Linked DNA regions of Alligator mississippiensis. The protein of the gene in region 1 interacts with the protein of each later gene in a biochemical or structural test. Links are inferred from orthologs where the notes say so. Each region holds a gene or a part of one and is shown on either strand. Other genes may lie near its edges.

Region 1 (9,049 bases):
GAAGAGTGCGCAGTAGGGAAGGCAGCAGAGGCTCATCTGGGACAAAGGAGGAAGAGCTGGTACAAAGAACACACCTACAAAGGTGGGGGCTTTGACGACCAGTTTGCTGCCTAAGCCAGGAAAGGGAAGATTTCACCATGTGGTCCAGACAAAGTAGTACCTAAGGGCTTTCCACACATTAAAATGAGCTATAATTCATTTCTAGTGAACTTTAACTTCAACAAACTGTGATCACCAAAGCCACATCAAGCAAGAGCCTGGGCAGCATACTGATGCAGACTAGTGCTAAAGAGGAACATCCCGTTGCATCTCTGTGTAAAAACAGGCTTCACTGGAGAAAACTATCCAGCTACAGGAAAGATGTGTTCTGCACCTCGTGGGGCTCTTATGAGAGTGCAGCTCTGCACTGCCCTCCCTGTTTCTTGCAAACTTCACAGAATAGTTCAAATTTGAATGGCCCAAACAACCCACTCTGCCAGATTGCTATGACTAACACCAACTGCTAATAAAATGCTGGGACTGACCAAGTTCACCAGAGCTGCAGGCCTTTGTACGCTCCCGTGCTAACTGCAGTTCCTGGTGGCCAGTAGAGATCTGTCATGCTCATTATTCTGAGACTGGCACAACAAAGAACTGATACGGGTAAAGGCTCTGCTCCACGCTCTCACACTGCCCCGCGTCACATTTTCATTTAAGGTCACCACACTCGGACAGCTGAGAACAGCCTGCCTGTATTCATCCGAATGCCTTTTGTGCCGGATCTTGAAGACGTTTCCTTATAAAAAAGCATCAGCGAGACAAGAGCATTCCTACTGCACCCGTTAAAATCCCAGCCAGCCAAGAAAGAACAGGATCAGCATAGCTCATTTACGTAACGCACGAATATGGAAAGCTTCCGAGCATCGCTTGGTCAGAACTGCAGCACACTACAAACAAAGCAAGTATGGATTGACCTGCTGATTGACTGTCTCCTGACCGAGTTCTTTGTGCATGATTGATTTCACTGGGAGTCCATGTGGCAGAAACAGTTAAAAAATATTTACAGAAGACTGAGTTCTACAGTCAATCAGTAATGAGTTGACTTGCATGACCCATTTATTTGTAATCCATGGGTAGGATACTGGTTTTCTCTAACTGTGTCATAAACAAGGGACTATGAAGCATTGCTATACAAAATGTCTCAATGAAAGGAGACTGTCTCATATTTTGTAGCACCTGACGAAGTAGGCAGTTGCTTACAAAAGCTCATGCCTTTCTGAACAAGTTAGTTGATAAAGGTGCCACACTGCCCCGCCTTCTGCCAAACTTCAGAGTAACACACTAGCTACCTCTCAGTACATATTCTTTAAACCAGACGACCCTTCCCTCTTTGTATGTAAAATAGGGCTGGATGTAGTTGTGCGATCATCACGCATTCAATATCCTTCTACCCTTCCAGTCAACATCTATTTGGCCAAACGTTCTCAGTGTCTTCACTCTGCGAAGCGTGTGCAAGTTAAAAATGTAAATCCCATCACATATCACATAGGTTTAAGACTGGAGCCTTCAGACAACATTACACAAGGTAACTAGGATCATCACTACATCACAACTTTCTGGAAATTCCTTTACTTAATTGGAAGTGATAAATCTTTCAGCACAAAACATATCCAGGTAAGAGACAGGGGCCCAGATAGTCCTGGGATTAGGGGGCGGTGCATACACCTTCAGGAGGCCTTAAATGCCTCTATACTAATGCTTGTAGTATGGGGAACAAGCAGGAGGAACTTGCCCTCCTGCTAGCTAACACAAACCCAGACATAGCGGGGCTCACAGAAATGTGATGGGATCCAACGCACAACTGGGCGGTGAACATCAAGGGCTATGGGCTGTACAGAAGGGACAGGACAGGGAGGAAAGGCGGGGGCGTAGCACTCTACGTCAAAGAACAATTCACATCCTCCACGAGCAGCACAGGGTCAGAGGAGGGGCAAGCTGAAGTGCTCTGGGTTAGAATACAAGGGGGTCAGGGAGAAAGGGATTTAACAGTGGGGGTCGGTCTACTACAGACCACCCAACCGGGGGGAAGAGCTGGACCGAGAATGTTCAGGTCGGCTCGCGGAGGCAGTTAAGTCAAAGGACGTGGTCATCCTGGGTGACCTGAACTACCCGGACATCTGCTGGGAGGAGCAGTCAGCCAGGTGTGACCGCTCACGTAGGTTCCTAGCCGAGATACAGGACCTCCACCTAACCCAGGAAGTGCACAGTCCCACCAGGGGAAATGCCCTGTTAGACCTGGTCCTGGCCACGGGTGATGCCCTGGTGACCACCTGCGTGACAGGAAGACAGCAGCCCTAGACTTCAGGAGGAACAATTTCACTGAGCTAAGGAGACCAGTCGGGGAGGCACTGAGGTCCTGGAGGGGTGGGGAGTTGGGAGTCCGAGAAGAGTGGTCATCCCTGAAGGAGATGATCCTTCAAGCCCAAAGAGTGGCAATCCCAACACAGATCAAAGGGGGCAAGAGTGCTCAGAAGCTCCCATGGCTCACCAAAGGCATCCAGGAACGTCTCCAAGCTAAAAAGGAGGCGTGCACCCGGTGGAAGGGAGGACTATGCCTCCGTTGCTCGGGATTGTATTGGGGCGGGCGGGAAGGCCAAGGCGGAGATGGAACTGGGACTAGCGACCCGGATCAAGGATAACAAGAAATCCTTTTTTAAATACATAGGGGGTAAAAAGAAGGTACCAAATAACGTGGGGCCTCTGCAGGACATGCTAGAAAATCTGGTGGTCTCACCAGATGACAAAGCTAACCTATTTAACAATTTCTTTGCCTCCATTTTTCTAAGCAGAGACCAGGTCATCCCCTCCACCAGGATCCCCGACGGACCCAGGCGGGGCGCACCCAGGCCCAGGGTCAGCGAAGGCCTAGTCTGGGAACTTCTGGAAGGACTGGACGTGTTCAAATCAGCAGGTCCTGACGATCTTCACCCCAGGGTGCTGAGGGAATTAGCAGAGGTCATTGTGGGACCCCTGGTATGGCTTTACAAGCACTCGTGGTGCTCTGGTGAGGTGGCAGAGGTCTGGAAAAGGACCAATGTGGTCTCCCTTTTCAAAAAAGGGAGGAAGGGGGACCCAGGAAACTACAGGCCTGTTAGTCTTACCTCGGTCCTGGGGAAGCTCTTTGAGAACATTATCCGGGAGCACATCTGCGAGGGGCCGGCAGGGGGATCATGCTGAGGGGCAACCAACACGGGCTCATTAGAGGCAGGTCCTGTCAGACCAACCCGGTGGCCTTCTACGACCAGGTCACAAAATCCTTGGATGCAGGTGTCGCGGTGGACGTAGTCTTTCTGGACTTTAGGAAGGCCTTTGACACTGTCTCTCACCTCATTCTCGTTAAAAAATTAGGAGATTGTGGTGTCGACCCCTACACAGTCAGATGGGTCACCAATTGCCTGGAGGGCCATACCCAGAGTGGTGGTGGACGGGTCTTTTTCGACCTGGAGGGCTGTGGGCAGTGGGGTCCCCCGGGCTCAGTCCTCAGACCCGCGCTGTTCAACATCTCCATCAGCGGCTTGGACAAGGGGGTAAAAAGCTCCTCGTTCAAATTTGCTGATGACACTAAGATGTGGGGGGAAGTGGGCACGCTAGAAGGGAGGAATAGGCTGGTATCAGACCTAGACAGGTTCCAGGGGTGGGCGGATGAGAACAGGATGGGTTCAGCACTGACAAGTGCAAGGTGCTGCACCTGGGGAGGAAGAACCAGCAGCACACCTACAGGCTGGAGAACTCCCTTCTCATCAGAGCAGAGGCAGAAAAGGATCTTGGAGTCATTATTGATGCCAAAATGAACACGGGCTGACAGTGTCGGGACACGGGCAGGAAGGCCAGCCGCACCTTGTCGTGCATCCACAGATGCCTCCTTTTGAGCAGGTCCAAGGAGGTGATCCTCCCCCTCTGTGCGACACTGGTCAGGCCGCAGCTGGAGTACTGCGTCCAGTTCTGGGCGCCGCACTTCAGGAGGGATGTGGCCAGCATGGAGCGAGTCCAGAGGAGGCCATTCGCATGATCTGGGGGCAGCAGGGCAGGCCCGACGAGGAGAAGCAATGGGACCTGAAGCTGTTCAGCCTTCACAAGAGAAGGCTGAGGGGGGATCTAGTGGCTGTTTACAAACTAGTCAGGGGGACCAGCAGGCATTGGGGGGTGCCCGTTCCCCCGAGCGCTGCCAGGAGTGACAAGAAATACCGGTCACAAGCTGGCAGAGGGCAGATTCAGACTAGATGTCAGGAGGCGCGACTTCACTGCCAGGGCGGCTAGGATCTGGAACCAACGTCCAAGAGAAGTGGTGCTGGCTCCTACCCTGGGGGTCTTCAAAAGGAGGCTCAATAATCACCTCGCCAGGGTTGTTTGACCCCAGCGCTCTTTCCTGCCAGGGCAGGGGGTCGGACTTGAGGATCTGCTCGGGTCCCATCCGACCCGACCAACTATGAAGCTATGAAACTATAATGTAAATTCAAGCTGATATTGTGAAAAAACCCACTTCTGATGTTACAGAAGTAACACTCTGCTTTTTCTTTTTGATCTTCCCAAATCAAGCGCAACCCAACACAAGGCAAAGACATGTGGGATGCCAGCCGTGGTCACGCACCTACCATTTGCCTCTGTGCAGCTGCTCAGCGGATGCCAGAACAAGTCGTGCCCCGGCCCAGACTAAACCTATCAGCCCCGCCGCTCCCCGTCATGACAGACCCAGATGTGAAGCCAGTGGCGGAGCTCGTGGGGCAGCCCGACCGCAACGTGGGCGGGGAGGTTCGGGCAGTGCCGCAAGGACCGTGCCCGGCCAGCCGGGCCCTTCCCGCCCTGCCCCGGGGTGTGCAGCGCCGGCCACCGGCCCCGCGGACACGCAGGGCACTCAAGGAGCGGGGCCCGGAGCCCCGGCAAGGGAGGAGCTCCTCGTCGGTGCAGCGTGCGGGACAGGGGCCAGCGGCACAAGGAGCTCCTCAGGCAGGTGTCGGGGCGGCGGGCGCGGGCCGGGGCCGGGGCCGTGGGCGGGGCGGGAGCCGTGCCGGGGCCGGTGCGGGGCGCGGCGCTAGGACCCGGCGGCGCGGCGGCGCGCGGGGCAGGTCGCAGCCCGCGAGGCGAGCGCTGCAGGAGGCGGCGGCGGCGGCGGCGGCAGCGGCCACGGCCACGGCCACGCTCGGCGCCGCGGGACCGGCGGGAGCCGCAGGTGAGGGCGCGGGCGGCGGGACGGGACGAGACGGGACGGGGCGGGGCGGGGCGGGCGCGGGTCCGTGCGGAGCCTCCCGGGCGAGCCCCGCGTGCCGGCCAGCGGCGCCCCCGCCTCCCCGCCCGCAGGGCTCCGCTCCGGCTCCGGCCGCATCCGCCCGCGGGCAGCGCCGCCGTTGCGCGCCCGCAGCTGGAGCCGGAGCCCCCGGCGCGGCGCGGCGCGGCGCGGCGGGGAGGACGCCCGCACGTGCCCGGCCAGGCTCGGTGCTGCGGCGGGGCGCCGTGCGCGGGGTACCGGGGCGGGCAAGGTGAAGCGTGTCAGGAGACAGCTGGCACTGCCCGCCGCTGCCAGGGAGGGCTCCCGCACTCGTGCCGCCGCGGGAGAGGGCCACGCTCGCACGGGCCGGGCCGGGCCGGGCCGGGCGGACGTGGCGCGTGCGGGGTCGGGACTGACCCGCGCCAGCGAGAGCGGTCTGTCCCCGCGCCAGGAGGACCCCGCTCAGCCCACCCAAGCCAGAGCCGCGCCGCGCCGCGCCGCGCGTGTCAGCCCGGCTGCAGCAAGGGGGACCTCTGCTGGCAAGTGCCCCCGTCCCGACAGGAGCGGCCGTGCTCGAAGCAGGGTGTAAAGTACCCCGTCCTGCTCCACACGCACACGGGACCTGCCCCCCACCCTCCCCGCAGAGCCCCCGGCGCTGGGGCGTGCCAGGGCATCCGCCGAGCGCACCCGCACCTGTTGCAGGCGGAGAGCACAGGGCGCTTTGTGCAGGGGCGGCGGAGGGTCCGCGATTAAACTCCCTCGGCAGGATTTAGGCCGTTCCTGCCTTCGCTCAGAACTCGTAATACCCATTAGCACCAGATGTTCGCTCGCATGGAGCGACTGTGCCCGCTGACGCAGGCAGCTGAGCGAGTGCAGATGACCTCCTTTACATTGGGAGCCTGCGGAGGGGAATCCCACCCCCCGCCAGGTCTCGCCTAGCATTGCCCCCAGGACCCGGCAGCGCGGGAAGGTCGATGGCTTGTCAGCGTCTGCACTGAAGGCAGCCGCCAAGTCATTGAGAGTGACATCGTGCAAGCTGCATGGGGTTTCTGTCAAGACTAATGGACAAGGAAGTGAAGGTTTACCTCACACTGAGGCCCAAGTCAGTGGAGTAGGTGTTAGTGTGTGTTTGTTTCTTCTCTGTAGGAAGAGCTTAATGTCTCAATGCAAAAAAACTGTAGTTGAATCAGGAGCAGATGGGTCTTGCTGCAGTCCCTCAGTCAGAATCCTAACAGAAATATGTAACTTGTCAGCCCGTGGTGGTCGTAACCGAGTTCAGTCGAGTCAACTACTCCTGCACGACATGCTGGCACAACTGCGCGTGCACACACACATGCAGAGCTGGGTTTAGAGTCAAAAAGGCAAAAGAGCTCACTGTCAGACTGGGAAGATGAGGCAACGTATCCTGCTCAGCCAGCAACAAACCAGTAAGGAGATAAACAGTAGCAAGGAATTATCATGTAAATCCCTTGCTGCTCTTTATCAGTAGCAGGGAACATGTGTAAATTAACACCATCCTTGTCCCGGTCCTGCCTCACACCTGGAACCTGCACACTTGAAATAAGTTCCCAAAAAGGCTTGTGTGGGGCAGGCGGGGTGGAGAGCTCTTCACTACGAGGAGAATATTCTGAAGAGATGTAACAGGGGCAGGAACTGCTGAATGACATGCAAGGGAAGTGAATGTTTTGAGTAACTCCTCCCCACAATACCCGCAAAGGAAACCACAAGAAAAATTAAGAAACAGATAATCTGTTAAAAGATAAATACTCTTTTTCCTCCTCACACCCTAGACAGATACTTCAGTTATATTCCAGAGAGGACTAGAGGTCGATTTAAATAGCAACACCATCTGCAGTTACACTAGTTAGAGGAAAAGGCAGCTGAAAAGTCTGCAGATATCAATGGTGTAGTTTCTACAGCAATCGTGGTGTGGCCTGTCTCAGTGCAAGTAGCATTTTATATTGCTGTTACATTCCATGGTTTATATTACAAGGTATTTGCAAATATGGCCAAGTTACAATTGCAAATTAGGATACACTGCAGAGATACTTCCACAGTGCATGGGTCCCACAGCATGCCTGCGTGGCAGCATGCTCTCATGTGACACCTTTCACTGCCTAAAGCCATAGTCGAAGGCCAAGTGCAAGAAGTGGGAACTCCCCGACCAGCACTCTGCTGGCCACCCACCCCTCTTTGGGCATGACTGGTTTGGAAATAATCCAGTTGGTAATTAGGAAGGAAGCTGCCCTTGGAGGGCCTCCGTGTCTGAGGGCCAAAATACACACTCCAACCATCCCTACACATGTCCCAAGCCTTGCAGATTTTGCTCGCAGCTGTGCTAAGCTCGGGCCTGAGGCCAGGCCCAACTCGTCACAGTATTGAGCCTCTTTCTGCCCTGGTAAGGGCCACACTCATACCTCCCCCCTCTCACACTCCTGCTCTCACCCCGTCTCTTTCATCCCACCCTTCCTGGGCCTCACTCCTACTGCCCCTTCTCTCCTGGGGACCACATGCACCTTGCCCTCACCCCGAGGGTCCTCAGGCTTGCTGCTTTTCACTCCCTGGCCAACAAGTGCACAGCCTTTTGGGCATCTCTCTCTGCCCTCATCAGCACAAGCTCTGGGCTGCTCACTAAATGCTGTGCTGACTCTGCCCCGGTCTCCTCCCTGGGCAACTCCCCCAGCTGCTCTCCAGCAAGGGGCTAATGGCTCACCCCCTTCTCCTTGCAGCTCCTCCTCTGTTGCCCTCTAATTGGGCTTGGGCACCTGAGGGCTTCCCTGGGCCTAACCCAGGCCCCTGTGCTAGCAGGGCCTTCACCCAAGCTCCTGCCCACAGGGCCTGAACTCATGCCCCTCACTCACAGGGCTTCACCCCTCCCACTCTCTACTCTGGGGTCAAACACCCAGGAGGCTCAGATGCTGTTTGTCGGCATGCCTGGCCCAGAGTTCGCCCCTTCTCACCAGGGCCTCGACTGCTCATCTTACGGGGTCTTCCACCCCTTCGGGCTCAGGCGCGTCTCAAAGCTTACCTGGCCTTCACCACACCCCTTCAGGGTCGTGCACCCCATTGGGCTCAGATGTCCCCTATGGACTTCCCCGGCCCCACTACTCCCTCTCCAATGTTACCACATAGCCTAGTGGGTGGGAGGGGGAGGGCTTAGGCACCCGGACCTACCTTTCACCGGGAAGGTCCTCAAACCTGGCATTTCAATGGCCCTGCCCCACCAGAGGCCGGACCACCAGCTCTCCCGGCCCCAGCAGGGTGCAGCTTTAGGCCATGCCCAGGACCACTGGGGCCTCCTCCTTCCCCACCCATATCTCTACGCTGGTCTTGGAGCAGCAGTTCTTCCCGGCAATGTTACTTCCACGGTGCCTGGCAGCAAGTGCTGCCTCCCGCCCTGGGACTTAAAATGGCCACTCGTTAGGGCTGGGCCGCACCTGCCTGCTGCCTGACCCAGGTCTTAAAGTGGCAGAGCCCTCACACTGCTCTGACACCCCACCCCCCTCCAGTGTTTATCGGGAAGGCTTTTCCCTGCTGCTCCCAAACACAAGCTCCCCCAAAGCCTGTGATAGCCCCGAAGTGGCGAGCACCCCACTGGTGCTGCGCCACACCGCAGAAAGTGTGGGCTCGTGACTTCAGGTCCTTTGGAAGCCCCCTTGGTGCACGAGACATTCTCCTCTTGGGCTGGTTTAAGATCAGGAGCAATACTGAGGAAGTCAAGGTTATGCTGGTGTGAATGGCAGAGAGAGCAGCTGCTGACAGGGTGAATCATTTTAGACAAGGTTGTGCTTCCACAGGACTCTGCTC
Region 2 (8,828 bases), on another chromosome or scaffold:
TGCAAAGAGAACATTTAACAGACCCTCAGATTAAAAACAAAACAAACAAACAAACAAACGAGAGAGAAAGGTTTTCCTGATATTTTTTCTTTGCCCCAGTACACCTACTCACTTCAGGGAGATAAGTCCAGTAATCAGCCCCATGGTTTGCAAGTATATCAGCTCCCTGCGCAGCTGGAAACTTCATCAGCCAATTAGCTGCCTCCTTTCACAATGTCTGCTTTATCCACTCTATTCTCTGTATATTATACATACTGGCATTAGACAATGAAGCGCCAATTACAGGCATTTGAATGACAAAGTGCTCCAATTACTCTGTGCTTGAAAGCATGTGCTCTCATCACTGGTGCTGAATTGCAACCGTAGCATCCTGCCGGATTCAGTGCTTCAGCTGCACAATAACTAGTGGGTCCCTCTGGAAACTACGCATCACACTGGTGAGCATAAAAAGCAGTTTCATACTCCAACATGCTAAAATGGGTCTCTGGTTCTTCAAGCAGAAGTTGTAAACTCCTAATGGCTCCTGTTTTAAGGTGATGGGGCATCCCCTGCTCCCAAAGGATGGGCCTGGAGTAGCTGGGAGCTCTGCCAAGCTGGTCCTCCCATATCACTCCTTATAGTGCCTTCTGCTGGAACAAAGCATTGGTTCTCAACCTCCTTAGACTAAAGGCAGCCCTCAGAAAATGCCAGCTCTTAGCTTTTGCTTCTTTTTCAACTTCCTGCCCAAGTGCAGATGGGCTGGACTTGATCTTATAAAGTCCCTTCCAGCCCCTAACATCTATGAATCTATGAATAGAGAAATTATTCTGATGCAAAGAACTTGGAAAGCCCACAGTAAAGCAGAAGGGTTTGACGCTATGGGTTCCTATTTGAAATCTCTGGGTTTATCTTGTGAATTGTATAAGTGTTGGCACATCTAATAGTGCTAATATTGCATGGCACCGCATACCATCCTTACAAGGATCTTGCAGAACCCTGGTTGAGAAGCACTGATCTAGAGCAACTCCTGTTGCTAGAGGCTGGGAACACAGTAGCTGCCAGCTGCCTGTGGCCAGCATGATACATTTCTTACTATTAACAATTCTGGGGAAAAAGAGGACCCAAGCAGCTGTGTTCTCTCTCTCTCAGCCAGCTCTCCCACACTATCCTTGCAGAAGCTTCTTCTCAGGGAGGCTGGGACTGAAGGACCTGTGAGCTACTCACAAGCAATATGCCTCAGAGAGCCTGGGATGGAAGAGAGCAAGTTACCAAGATCCAGCACTCTTCCTACATCCTATTCTGCTGTTCCTAGCACCAGAGCATGGAATTGGAATCGCTATGAGCTGTGGACAACCAGGGCTCCCTACAGTGCCCCCTGTTGGGAGAGGAGCAGTGGTGAGAAACAACCAGTCTTAATTAAGGTAGCTACAATTCCTACCAAGAACTCTTTTAGCTCTGAGTTCCTGTACAGCCAGCAGTAGTCCCCTTCCCCTGTTGTAATTCTTGCTCAGAAAGGTAAGGAGAAGTGATCGGAGGCCTCTGACCCCTGACAATCCCTCCCCTCCATGCTACTAAATGGTGTGGAAAATGTAACTTCCATTCCCAGGTGCTAGAACCACCCTCCCTTTCTGCCTGCTTTTCCCTACCCATGCTGGGGTCTTGAGCTGAAACGCCCATAAAGATTAACACACTTATAAGCGGGCACATGGTCTGCATTAGTCCAGTAAAATGTGCATGTTATTAACACAACTCCTGTTGACAAAGCCACAGGTATTAACCTCATAAAGCATTTTGACAGCTGGAACAAAGAGGGAAGAGAGACACCATTGCAAGCTTTTAATTGCTTTTTACATTGCAGTGGTAGATTCTATTTTATTTCATTTTTTTTTGGCGGATGAAGATTTAGAATGCGGGGTCAAAGCTCCACGCTTTGGGGAGAGATTTATACATGAAACCTGGCAGCAAGTCTCTTTAAGTCTCCAGCATGAAAAATATTTCATCCTGTTGGATGTAGAGTTATAGCTGGAGATGGGCCCATCTTAAAGTTCACTGCCCCCAAGCCTGATAAACTGGATCTGGCTGTCTTGGCTGTCTGTGATGGGAAGAACCAAAATGCTGGCTCAGAACAACCCCCAGACTTTGGGAAGCTTGAAACTAATGTGTGAAGAATTCTGCAGCCTAGGGGGAATCACAAGTCAAAGCAGCAAAAAGGAAGTCATTCTAGCTCTTCTGGGGTCTGTCTACACTGTGATCAAAGGTGTGACTGTAGCAGAGGAAGAAATCCACGTCTGCTCCACTCCGGCTAGCACTGGTAACAATAGCAGTGAAAGAATGTGGTAGCACAAACCTAAGCATGGGCTAGCAACCTGGGTCCCCAGGGAAGCTTGTATGCCTGGGCTAAACTCTGCTGGTTACATCTTCCCTGCTACTGATTAAAGCTGGAGTGGTTACACCTACCTTAGGTTCAATCCCACCCCAGTTGTAGTGCAAGACAAGTATTCATGTGATCCTGTCAGTGGGATACTCACCTGGACAAGCCAAAGAGCAAAGGAACTCTGCACTACTTGGGTATTTGTCAGTTATGGAGTTGGTGGTAATAAGACACTGAGCCTCTCAGGGCACAGACGCAGCTTGATTATCACCATATGCTTAGTGGTCTTTGTGAATGGAGTTAGAAGGGCCCAGTCCACCTTCCAGGTGAGACAGGTGTCCTAACACCATGATACCTTTGCCATTTCCTATATGGCTGGCTCCGCCAGAAGATACAAAGGAACTCTCCTCTGAACCCCAGAGGTGGTGCCTCTGAATTGGGGTTCAGCAGAGAAGGGATATTGGGGCTGCATCTGATCTGTGGATCAGGCCATGGGAGTGGCTGGATTTTTGCCAGGGCTGCATTGCTTTAAATAAATGATATGGCAAGAGATAGGGCACTCAGGTTTCTGCCCCTTGCCCTAAAGTGGGGCTAGCGCTTGCTTTGTCAGAAAGCAAATGCTGGACTGTATGGCACATAGGGACAGAGAGCCTGGATCAGACCCATGGTCCAGCTAGTTGGGTATCCCATCGCTGACAGTGGCTGGCACCAAATACTTCAGAGAGAAATGTGGGAGATGCAGAGTAGTAGGCAGGGGAGGACATGCCCCTCACATCCATCTTGTCCTGGTGCCTAATAGAGCTTGCCCTCGGCCCCGAAGCACTATGGTTAATCTTGCTTCCACCCCTCCTTGTCCCTCGTTCTGAGAGCTCAGGATATTCCCTATTGCCTACGTGAGCCTGACAATCTCTGGCAAGTCCTGCAGCCCCGTGTCCACACAACACACCGCTGTCCTGCAGCCTTTCCCTCCACTCTTGCCGCACTCCCCAGCTCTTTAATATTTCATTGGCCTCTGTACAGTGCCCGATGCGCGGACTTTCGTTTGTCCCTGGGCTTTAACTGCCTGTGCCCCGAGAACCGCCAGGAGCAGAGGGAGGTGCTTTAGTACCCAAGGGCTATTTCTCTGAGCTACTAGATGTCCCGACCCACACAGCACAGTCCCTGGGAACGGGGTGGGGCGGAGACTGAGGGGGAGCGCATGTGGGAACGGTGGCATGCTGGGGTCCCCGAGAAAGGGCGAGGCAGCTCCCCTCAGCCGGGTGGCTGGCCCATGCTCAGCCCCTGCTCCCCGAGGCGGCGGGAGCCCAGCTCCTGTGGGTGAAAGTCACCGGGGGCTGGGCTCTGCCCGCGGCTCAAGGGTGTGGGGTAGCTGTACCCAGCAGTCTTCAGAGAGGGGCCTTCAGGCTGCCACTCTCCCGGGATGGGGTGGCCTCTCCTGAGAGGGGCCACTACAGGCTGCAGCCTCACACCCGCGGAGTCCCTGGGAATGGAGGTGGGGGGAGCTGCCCTCTGTGCCCAGCCCCGTCCTGCCCCCGGCTCCCCCTGCCCAGCAGTCGCCCCCCAGGCATGGGCTCCCGGGGGCTGGGAGCTGCCCCGAGCCGGGGCCACTCACCCCTGCCCCCAGCAGCAGCAGCAGCAGCAGCAGCGCTGGCGGCGGCGCCTTGTCCATGGTGCGGGCGGCAGCGCGGACTCCTCCTGCCCCGACGGCGGCTACGACAGAGCAGCACCTGCGCGCCGGCTCGGCCCGTCTTATGGCAGCGCTGCCTCGTCCCCCCGCCCCGCCCCGCCCCGCCCCGCCCCGCCCGCGCCGCCTCCCGCCTCCCTCCGGCCCGCACCCCGCGCTGCCTGCCCCGCGCGCCCTCCTGGCCCGGCCTGGGTGCCCCACACACCCGCTCTGTCCTCATCCAGCCCGTCTCTCTGCCTGTCCCTCAACCTACAGCCGTGCACCCCTGCCTAGCCTCGTACACCCCTTCTGTTTATCGACCCCCACACCCCCTCTCCACTCTCATACATCCCTTCTATCTGTCCATCTGTCTGTTGCCATACACCCCTTCTATCCTCTTTCTTTCTTTCTTTCTTTCTTTCTTTCTTTCTTTCTTTCTTTCTTTCTTTCTTTCTTTCTTTCTTTCACCATAACCCTCACTCTATCCTCATCCACCCCTTCTACCACCTTACACCTCCACCCCTTCTATCTGTCTGTGTGCCTATCACCATAACCCCCTCTCTATCCTCATACACCCCCTCTATCTACCACCATAGACCCCTCTCTCTATCACCATACATCCCTTCTATCTACCCCATACACCCTCTCTTTTTATGCTCATTTACCCCCATACACCCCCTCTCTGTATCCTCATACAGCCCTTCTGTCTCTCTTTGTCTGTCTCCTACCATACACACACCTCTCTCTAGCCTCATACACCCCTTTCATCTATTGCCATCTTTCTGTCTGCCTGGTCTTTTATTGATTTTTTTACTTGCAGTACAGAACCACCAAGAAGCCTCCCTCAAGTGGAGAAACTTGCATGTGGTTGTGCAACTGAGCTCAAGACTGGGTAACAGATGCAGAGGAAATTCCCCTTCCAGCTCCCCCTCCCCAGCTGGGATCTTTTCCAAAGCAGGGTTTGCTGCTGAGATGTCCAGATGGCAATGAGCATTGCAGACTGCCCTTGTACGAGAAGTGCTACAGCATGCTGCACTAATGACCTCCTAACACTCCAGAGTCTCTTTGTTAAAAGATCCCATGGTATCCTACAAGAATGGCCTCAAATATGCTAGAGGATCTATCCCCCAGCTGCAGATGAGAAATGCACAACACAGTCAGGAGTGAGGAGGTGTCTTTTGCATACACCACATCTTTAGTCCAGGATGCTGTGTGTGGGTCTGGTTTCCCAGAACATCTTGAAGACTATGGATGGTCCCAAGCCAGTGATGGTAAGAGCATAAGGATGCCTCTGTCACACTCCCTTTCCCTCAAGCCATACCCCTTGTATTAGCAGCCAAAAGGGGGTTCGGGGAGGGCTGTTGCCCAGGTTCTCTGGCCCTGGAGGATCCAACAAGGCTGAGAAAAGCCTGGCATTGACAGGAATGCTGGCACTGAGGTACCTACACCATCAGCTTTGGGGAAAGTGACTGCACTGAGGAGGCAATCAATGCAGTCCCTTGTCTCACCTTAGCAATACTCTGGAGGGATTACCGTGGTTAATACTGTACTAATTAAACAGTCACCCTGGTGTTTGGGGTCGCTGTCAGAGAATGGTGGTGCCATCAGTAGGGGATAGAACATAAGGCTGGAAGGGAACCCTGAGTCCTCTGTGTATAAGCTATCCCTGGGTCATTGCAGCCAGCTAGCTCCCCCTTGTTCTTCAGTCCAAGTTAGGAAGGACCATATCAGGGCTACAACACTGCCTGGCCCTCAGGAGACCAGGGTTCTTTTTCTGGCTCAGTTGCAAAAGCTGGATTGTACTCTCTACCAGGGGTCAGCAAAGTTTTTGTGCAGGGTGCCAAAATCACCCATGACCTCAACTTGTAAAATGTTGGTATGCCAGGGGTGGATGGCAGGGGAGCTGCAAAGGGCTTGATCCTAGTTGTGGCAGTGCAGCCTTGGCCCCATCCTCACCGTCCACCCCAAGGCATGTGTGCCAAGCAAAATGCCTTCACATGTCACATTCTGGCACCCATGCCAGGGGTTATCTACCCCTGCCAATTGTGTGCTAGCACAGGCTCCCTTCAATGATTCTTTGGTCCATGCATCCACGGTGGCTTCATCCTCTGGTGTGGTCAAGCAGGAGCAGAGTCTGAAAAGAGAGCCACCTCCTATTTCATAAAATTAATGCTGTGGGTATTTCCAAAGAGCAACAAGGCAGGGGACCCGCAGAGAATAGCTTGGCAGACAATACATCCTTAAATCTCTTCTTGCCTTTTAGGCAAGTAAGACCCTCTCAATCAACCTGATTTCCCCCATCTACACAGGAATAACAGTCCCTTTGTGTATTTCAGTGATTCTCAGCTAGGGCACCAGGGCACACAAGGGTGCTGCAAGATCCTTTGAAGGGTACCTTGAGATGTGAGGAGATAAGCAGATAAGTGCAGACTCAGGCTCAGTCACCGCCTAGCTGTTACCCACACCCACTGCCTGATCCCTCTGCACTGTAATTAATAAGTTAATTTTTGAAATGGGGTGCTGCTCAATTCACAAAAATTATGGAGGGGGGCTGTGACAGTCCTGTGCCCCCACTCCCACCTGGCTTACCTCCATGCTGCAGCCCAGGTGGCTGGGCCACAATCAAAACGGCCTGCACGACGTGGCCAGAGCTGAAACTGCTGGTTGGCCCAGAACCTGATGGCTGCAGGCTCAAAATGGGCCCAGTAGTCAGAGAGCCAGGGGTGACACATCCAGGCACCAGGAAGGGAGCCGGATGCTTGCCTTGCTGCCAGAAGAGACAGCAAGGCACACCTTCACTTCTCCTGTTAGCCGTGCACCAAGGAGAGCACTGCAGTTGCACACTGCAGAGCAAGTGACTGGGAAGGACTCTGGTGTATCCCCGACGGCCAGCTGGAAGCTGGCTGTGCTCCCTGAGTCTAAAAGGCCAAGGTGAACAGCAGAACGCTCCCTCACCCCCAGAGTCTGGGGAACCAAAAGAGATGCCAGCCTGCCCGACTCCACCAATGATGGGCTGAGCACATCTGGCCCAGTCGCCTGTCCCAGGTGAAAGATGGGAAGCAGAGTTCTCAGTACAGTATCTGTTTGCCAGACTGGGTCCTTGGAACATGGGATCAGTGCCCATTCAAAGAATAGACTGCCAAAGCTGGCAGTACAGGCAATAAACAGAGCTTATCTTGTGATAATGCAGAGGAGATTGAAATGAAAGGATCTGCCTGGAGACATGTTGCAAAGTTGACTCTAACAGGGAGGTCAGGAAGAGAGTGAATTGGCTAAATGATGGGTGGCAGGTCCGTTTACTACCATCACCAGAGAACTGCCTGGGAACACACAGGTCAGGTGGGGGTGGGAGAGGGCAGCCCACTGGGCTCTGCAGGCACTGGACTAGGGTGGACCCCAACAGGGAGTCTGAGATCCACACACCCCACTGGAGCAACAGCACACTCAAAGTGTGCCAACTGGTGACTGGTGGGACACCAGATCCCATATGATAGCCACATGGGATGCCACGGGACAGTGGCAATATCTGGCCTGGTTGCCAAATGGGGAAGAACCCCAGTAGAAAGCCAGCTTGCTGGGAAGGCTATTCTGTCCCAAGGGGGGAGTGCAGTGAGCACCTACCCCATCGCACTCAGGAGTGACCTGCTCAGCATGGGGGCAATGTTGCCCTGCCCACCACCCAAGCAGGGCTCTTTTTGGTTAAGTTTCTGCTTTTGTGTTGTTATTTTCACAAGTCAAATGACTAGCAGCGAGTACCCTGTGGCATCTTTTTCAATGGTTGAAGAAGGAAATAGTGGTTGTGCCAGGGCACTGCCAGAAACCACTGGAACACCCGAGTGGAAAGGGGTGGGGTGTAGGGGAGGAGAAGCCCCTGGACATCAAAGGAAGCACTGAGCCCCACCTCCAAAGTTACTTTAGGAACAAGAAGTCATGGCAGGTGGTTAGATCCAGGTGTGAGGCCAGGTGGCAGGGCATGCCCCTGTTCAGTGGGCATGGGCCTGTCACAGGGGCCTTGAGTCTAATGAGGGGTGCCTTGAGTCTAAAAATGTTGAGAACCATCAATCTATTCTGACTGTAAACTCTCTGGAATAAAGACTGTCTGTTCCTACAGGGTTATATATAACACCTTGAACAAAGGGGCACTGAACTAAAGTGGGACCATTGCACATAAACAGGAAATAAACTATATTTGCTAGCTTCATTTGGTAGCCAGCTCCCATTTTTTTCCCCAGACCTGGGCTCTGATATCCCTTACTGAGTGGACACTGTTCCCTTCAGCCTTAGTGGGCTCATTGACTCAAAAGAAAATTCTGTCTTGCCTCCTTCCCTGTCCTTGACCCTGAGACCTCTGATGAGCTAAATTGTGCACTTGTGAGAGGAAAGAGTTGAAAATGTCACTCCTTTTTTTTCATCCCAGCAACACTCTTTGGCCCCTGAGTGGGGGTAGGGAGGGGACATGGGTCTAGAGCTACTCATTGGAGCATGACATGATCTGAATGCTCTCTGTGGTGCTCATCAAACAATTAATGGGCTTTATTCTGGCTTTAATAATGGATGGCAGCTTAAAAATTACCCAGCAAACAGTATGTGTTCCTGTCCTCTCCTGAAATGGTCTCTAACCCCAAGGGGGAAAGGGAAAGAAGGAGCTCTCTAAGTGAGTTGACTGCAGAACGGAGGGGCAGGCAAAGTATGCAGGGAAGGGGGAGTGCTCCCTGATGCTCAGGAAGGCATCAGAATAAAAACAGTCTTTGCAATTCCAAGCTAAAGTGAAACTGAAAGGGGAGAGAGAAGGAAGAGGGTCCTGTATCTTCACTC

What was found.
Region 2: the proteins of NGF (region 1) and NGFR form a complex in vitro, tested with the Homo sapiens proteins (2 studies listed by BioGRID and IntAct, with this or other methods). The link is inferred for Alligator mississippiensis from reciprocal best matches to the Homo sapiens genes NGF and NGFR.

What each region holds. Positions count from the first base shown.
Region 1 is NC_081837.1:45,830,372-45,839,420, reverse strand, and holds the start of NGF (beta-nerve growth factor), read left to right. Parts: upstream 1-5,126; 5' UTR 5,127-5,206; intron 5,207-8,416; exon of another isoform or gene 8,417-8,766; intron 8,767-9,049. UniProt on the Homo sapiens protein: Nerve growth factor is important for the development and maintenance of the sympathetic and sensory nervous systems.
Region 2 is NC_081827.1:168,900,136-168,908,963, reverse strand, and holds the start of NGFR (tumor necrosis factor receptor superfamily member 16), read right to left. Parts: upstream 4,082-8,828; 5' UTR 4,020-4,081; coding exon 3,963-4,019; intron 1-3,962. UniProt on the Homo sapiens protein: Low affinity receptor which can bind to NGF, BDNF, NTF3, and NTF4. Forms a heterodimeric receptor with SORCS2 that binds the precursor forms of NGF, BDNF and NTF3 with high affinity, and has much lower affinity for mature NGF and BDNF.